Arabidopsis thaliana: one gene and its partner. The protein of the gene in region 1 interacts with the protein of each later gene in a pairwise test. Each region holds a gene or a part of one and is shown on either strand. Other genes may lie near its edges.

Region 1 (3,414 bases):
TTCTTTCTATTCTCTTGTTGAACTTAATTACAAATGATGGGGTGAGCTTACAAAAGTTTCTAGATTATTCTACCATCATCTCGATAACTCTACTAATATATCTACATTTTTTTATCTTACAAACTCCTACTTTAAGGAGGTGATGATTTTTATGATGCTTATAGAAAAATCTAGAACTTAGGCTTAACTTTGGGTTTAGTCCAATATAGAATATTGGATTATAAACCCATGATTTAGCTTAACCCAAAATCAAGTTTAATTTCAATACGTTTGAACTCGTACCTATCAACGGGAGGTTTGGCTTGGCTGCATAACCGCATTGAGGAGGAGTGACGCTCGTTGTGTCTCTGTTTTTTTGAGTGATTACGCTCTGTTTTTGGCTGTATTGCCTGATTTGTTATCTTTCTTCATTGATTTTTCGGCCGTTAAAAAAAAACCTCTAACATGCGAGTCTTGTAAGTAAATCTTAACTTTAAGCTATATATGCATTTACCATTCAAGTAGTTCAACCTGATAACATTAATAAAGATTTGATCCCTTGACAAGTTGGCATGAATCCATTTATCTTTTCTCAATGGTGCTATAGAAACAAAAAATAATTTGAAGAAAGAAAATACAGCTAGTAAGATACTAGCCTACAAGTTATTTGCTACCAAAAAACACAAAAACCAAAAGCATTATTATGAATCAGAAACAACCATTTCCATTGGCAAAATTATAAATATTTGAGGGACCAGAAGGCATGTTCACGTAAGGAGGGACTGTCACTTTGTTGTCCAAGAAACCAAACACATCGTCTTTGGCCTCATTAAACGACGCCATGTTTGTCACAACCGTCTTCCTCAACTCCTCCAATGCATACTTCATTTCCTGTAACTGAACCATATTCATCTCCTCTACTGGCTTTTCCCACCAATTAATCATCGACCGCCTCACACTCTCTTTTCTCATCTCTTCCATCGCTTGACCCTTCTTCTTCTCTTCTTCTACCTCGCTCAAAATATGCGTTAACTGCATATTCAGTTCGCAGCTCGCTGCAGGGCTTCCTTGCAGTTGCTGCGACTGAGCTAAGGACATATTGTTTCGAGACACGTAGCGATCCAATACAGATTCAACACTTGGATGTCCGAATGAGAAAGGCTTTTTCGCGGGAGAAAACACGATGATCCCAATCTCTGCACCACACAAAGTGCAAAGCTCACTAGCTTTCTTGAAGAGACCGGCTCTGCGTTTGGAGAATGTGACTTGCCGGTGGCTCTCTTTCTTTATTTTTACCATTGGAATTTTTTGTCGTCCGATGCTTTCTTTCTTCTTCGACATCATAGTTTTTTTTGTATGGAGGGTTTTAGTTGCTTTTCTTTGTTGGAATATTTGGTGGAGAGAAAGTGTTTGTTTATATATACATGCTTGAGTCTGGTGTGGCATTATTATGAGATCAACTTGCAAAGTTGGTAATTTATTTTTATATTTTGTAACATACATTTGTAATTACTCGGCTTGCCTTTAATTTTATGGATAGATAATAAAATACAAAGATATGTGTAAGTTATAAAAATCTTAATTTGGTAATGCAATGATTTATCTTTCTTTACTTTTTATAATTGTCTTGTGTATAAATGGATGATTTTCCTAATGAGTAATTTCTTTATGTTACAAAAAGGTTGTTTTAATGAGTGAGTCTGTGTGGCATTATTATGAGATCAAATGGCAAAGTTAGTAATTTATTTTTACATTTGTAACATCCACTTGTAATTACTGGTTTTGTCTTTAATTTTGTGGATAGATAATAAAATACAAAGATTTGTGTTAGTTATAAATATTTTAATTTGGTAATGCAATGAATTTTTTTCCTTTCTTTTATAATTGTCTTTGTGTATAAATGGATGATTGTCCTGATAAGTGATTGTGTATGTTACAAAAGAGGTTGCAAATCAAAACGTTTACACATGTTAAAGTATTATCCAAATCAAAATATTGTTTTAAGTTGTTAATATCTTTTCTTGTTTTTCTATTTGATAAACATGCATTATTATACACAAATTAATATTTAAATCTTGAAAATTTGAAGTCTAATTTATAGTGTCTGACTTGGTAAATGGTTTCCGAATCAGCGAGCTCAATCGTTTGGCTGAAACTGGACCTTACAAGCCTAGGCTTTTCAATTCTACCAAACAAAAGCCTCAATATCAAGCTTACCTAACAAAACCTTGCACTCAAAAAGGATTTACGTTACAATCACGAGGGCAATAACTTTAACTAAGAAAGTGAGAACTAAGGTTTTCAACCAAGGGCTCAAGAGAAATGCAGTTCTCAACCCCAACCAACTTTATCGTCTTTGCCACACGATCAAGAGAACAAACTCCACGAAATAGGCCAAATGATCCAAAAAATACCAGTCTGACATTCAAAAGCCACATTGGAGACGACATTGAGATTTGAAAGTTTGGATACAAATTATCAAAGTCTTAGTGAGAGGGTAAATCAATGCATTGTTTGTCACGTAAGGGACTCTAGACAGACAATGTGGTCAAACAACATTGGTATGTTTAAATCTTTGGGAATTAACCCCACAAGCCTTGGCATTCGGATACCCAAACCCGATAAGTTCCTTTTTGGGTTTTGGGTCTGCGTGGGTAAGAGAGTCGAGATTCATTCGATATTTCAAAAATTCGGTGCGGATTGGGGTTCATGTATTTTAATCGAGAATTAAAAATACCCAAAATAACTATATTTTAGTTTCGGGTCAAATTTGGATGTTTTATCTATATATATACTTAAATCTACCCAAAACACATGATAGTCAAAAATACATTAATTACGTTTTACCTATATATAACCAAGTGTATCCAAAAATATTCAAATTACCTTTAAAAACTATAACATTGGTTACATTTTATCCAAATATATCCGAATTACTCAAAACTATCTAATATATTCAATTTATAATTGTAATTTTGGATATTTGGAGTATTATAAGTATAAATATAACTAATATTTTAAAGTGTATATTTATATTCGAATATTTACAGGTATTAGATTTGGTTCTGTTTTTTTTTGGGTAATTAGGTTTAGAACTCGACGTATTTTTAAAAATCGGATCTGAATCGATTCAGGTATTTTTTGGGTTTTCGGTATCGGGCATTCGGGTATTTTTTTTGGGTTTTCGGTTTCGGGCATTTGTCAAATCGGTTATATAACTACAAAGTTAAGAGTTTAACAAAAAATTATACAAAACCAAATCAAATTAAATTGAACCGAACCGTATGCGAATTGCAACCAAACGCATATAAAATGAAAAATTATAAACTGCAAACCCGGTTAATTTTCCGGGTCGGCCCGGAACCCAAGAAGTTTTCTTCTTCCTCTCTCGTCTTCTCTCCTCCGCGGGAGACTCTAAAATCATCTTCCCATGGC
Region 2 (3,524 bases), on another chromosome or scaffold:
CATCAAAGATTTCCTAAACTGAAGCAAAATATACTGAATACTCAAATATTTATCTGTTACCAAATTATAAACAAATAAGTTCGTAAAACAATTTAATATTTTATATACAAAATCAATTAAATCTTAATCACATAAAAATTAGCACAAAAAAAGTATTCAACAATTAAAAAATTATCAAATCTCTGTGTTATATAAGTTTTGATACTATATTCGAATAAAGTGTAATATTCCTTTTAAGTTTGTATTCTTTAACTAATTTAAACTAACTAATATATTTGCTAATCTTATACCTATCAAAACCGACTATCGTTTCTTATCTTTATAGTATTTTTGCAAAACTTTTTTGGTGGATTTGGGTAAAAATGCATTCGGGTCATATGGTACATTCCCCTATTAAATAAATATGGTCTACTCCTATGTTATCAGCTAAAATATTTAAATTATAATTCAGAGTCATATCATTAGTAAAATTAATATTAATAAAATAAATGGCTTTTTGGCAAGACGGATTTGGAGTGACGGGTTTTTGAATCAACATTAATAAAAAAGTAAAATATAATTAATCCACCGTTTCAATACGGGTTAAATCTTTAATTTATTATTTCTTAAGACCACTAATATTAAACATATCAAATCATCCTAATTTAGAAAAAATTATATAAAACCAAAAATGTTATGTGGTATGTATAATGTTACTATATATAAAATTAAATTATAAACTATAAATGTATTAGAGAATGATACAATTTGCAAAACTTATATATATAAAAAAGAATTCTTAAATTTTAAAAATTATTACTTTAAAAGAAAAATCACAGGACGGGTAAATAAATTATAGAACAGGTTTTATTTTGGAATTGGGTTATATGGTGGATGTATTTGAATCAATTTTTATAAAATTTTAAAATATTATTAATATGTTGTTTTAATAGGGGTTACAACTTCAGTTTTTTAACAATTGTCTCATGGATTCGTGGTATAGCGTTACTTAATAACAATTATAAACTATAAAATATAAATATTTTATAAAAATAAAATTTGCAAATTTTAATATATATTACTTTTAAAAAATAAATCGTCCCGCGGTATACCACGGGTTAAAATCTAGTGTGTATTGTAAAATTCCTATCTATGCAAAAGCATGAGATTTATGAAACGATTTTTTTAGATTAACTCTATGATGCTTAGATCATTCAATAACCTATATTCATTGTTTCCAGTAAAGAAAAAAATCACAAAAATATATTGAAACAGAATCTTTGACTATCTTATAATACCAAATCCTACTAGTTATCACAATATTTGAAATTATATTTTTAAATAATTGTACTAAATGCATTTTGATTAAATAACATTACTAGATTGATATTTCTTGATTATTGTTGTTAAAAAGTAAAATTGTTTATTCTATTTTATTGTTTTCATATTATCATTCTCATATTAGATTAATACAATATTTATCTATGACTTTTGGACAATAGTATTTTCATATGTCAAACCAGTAGTCCTAATACATGTAAAATGAAAAACGGTTTTCATCTGTATCTAAAATCCATTCAGATTTTTTAATATAATGTTCATGCATTAAGCTTGATTTGGACGTTTAGATTTTTTTCTTGTAATAAAAGAAAAGATACCCTATATAACACAATTTTATTAGCAGTAAATATTTTATATTTTTTGACTACCTGTAATCTAAAATTAAATGTCACTTACTAAAAGAAACAAAATTTTGTACCCTTTCATTACTATATATATATAACAGTACATATTCACAATCTCAAAACAAAATACACAAATAAAAAAGAAAAAACAAAGAGAAATATTTTTTCAATGACAAGAAAGAAAGTGAAACTTGCTTACATTTCCAACGATTCTTCAAGAAAAGCGACTTTCAAAAAAAGAAAGAAGGGTTTGATGAAGAAGGTACACGAACTCTCGACTCTTTGTGGCATCACTGCATGTGCGATCATCTACAGCCCGTATGATACCAACCCTGAAGTGTGGCCATCAAATTCCGGTGTGCAAAGGGTGGTTTCAGAATTTAGGACACTCCCAGAGATGGATCAACACAAAAAGATGGTAGATCAAGAGGGTTTTCTCAAACAAAGAATCGCGAAAGCGACAGAAACTTTGAGGAGACAAAGAAAGGATAGTAGGGAGCTAGAGATGACTGAAGTCATGTTCCAATGTTTGATTGGAAACATGGAGATGTTTCATTTGAATATTGTGGATCTTAATGATTTGGGTTATATGATTGAGCAATATCTTAAAGATGTTAATCGCAGGATTGAGATTTTACGAAATTCTGGTACGGAGATTGGTGAATCTTCTTCTGTTGCGGTAGCTGCTTCTGAAGGGAATATACCAATGCCGAATTTGGTCGCTACAACAGCTCCCACCACTACAATTTATGAGGTGGGTTCTTCTTCCTCATTTGCGGCTGTCGCGAATTTTGTTAATCCTATTGATCTTCAACAATTTCGTCATCCGGCGGCTCAACATGTTGGACTTAATGAGCAACCTCAAAATCTAAATCTGAATTTAAATCAGAACTATAATCAAAATCAAGAATGGTTTATGGAAATGATGAACCATCCTGAGCAAATGAGGTATCAGACAGAGCAAATGGGATATCAATTCATGGATGATAACCACCACAACCACATCCATCACCAGCCACAGGAGCACCAACATCAGATCCATGACGAATCTTCCAACGCTCTTGATGCCGCCAACTCAAGCAGCATCATCCCTGTTACTAGTTCAAGTATTACCAATAAAACATGGTTCCATTAGGTTTTTGTTAAATGTTATATTACAATAATTTGGATGAATTGATAAGTGAAATTATGATCAGCTTTAAGTTTTTTTGTGTGTAATAAATTGCATTACAGTTTATGTTCTCAAAGTTGTGAGTTTGTGACTGTGTTATCTTTACTATTATAGTTTTGCAATAATTATGCCTTTTAAAGTCGTAGATGTGTGATACTTTTATTTTTGTTGTTTATTTTTCCATGTGATATGTGTTTTTCCCCACAAATATGTCAACCAAGCTTGGAAAAGCTCTTACCAAACGGGTTTTAGTTACAAATTAACTATCTTAGCTCTCTTTCTTTGTCATACTCAACGCTGATTTTGATATAATTGTCGTCACAAAAACATTCCAAAGACTTGAGAAGAAACAAGAACCATTCAATATCCATACACTAAAAACAAAAATGTTGCAAGAATTCCTGCAACTACAATACTCTATAAACTCTCTCATTGTTAAATAACACCAGACAATCTTAACATCAGCTCTTGGTTTTCCCCAAGATTTGGCTTTGGAGATGTTGGTTATCTTCTAGCAATCTATCATACTCTAGAAGCAGCTCTGCAGACTGTTTCTGTAACGCCGTAACATGTGTTTCAGCAGTTTCGAGTTTCTTCTCTTTCTCTTTTGACTCAGTCTCTGCTTTCTTTAGTCTCTCTGTAATAGATGACAATTTTACTTGCAACTGCTTGATTTCCTTGGATGCTTT

What was found. Proteins that work in one complex are often made in the same cells at the same time.
Region 2: the proteins of AGL61 (region 1) and AGL80 interact in binary tests that used the Arabidopsis thaliana proteins (3 or more experiments, as listed by UniProt).

Annotation. Positions count from the first base shown.
Region 1 is NC_003071.7:10,579,150-10,582,563, reverse strand, and holds AGL61 (AGAMOUS-like 61), read right to left. Parts: upstream 1,496-3,414; 5' UTR 1,483-1,495; coding exon 688-1,482; 3' UTR 549-687; downstream 1-548. Other genes in the region: AT2G24830 (zinc finger (CCCH-type) family protein / D111/G-patch domain-containing protein), read left to right, coding at 3,410-3,414. UniProt on the Arabidopsis thaliana protein: Probable transcription factor. Controls central cell differentiation during female gametophyte development.
Region 2 is NC_003076.8:19,738,100-19,741,623, reverse strand, and holds AGL80 (AGAMOUS-like 80), read left to right. Parts: upstream 1-1,782; 5' UTR 1,783-1,833; coding exon 1,834-2,799; 3' UTR 2,800-2,978; downstream 2,979-3,524. Other genes in the region: AT5G48660 (B-cell receptor-associated protein 31-like protein), read right to left, coding at 3,297-3,524. UniProt on the Arabidopsis thaliana protein: Probable transcription factor. Controls central cell differentiation during female gametophyte development. Required for the expression of DEMETER and DD46, but not for the expression of FIS2.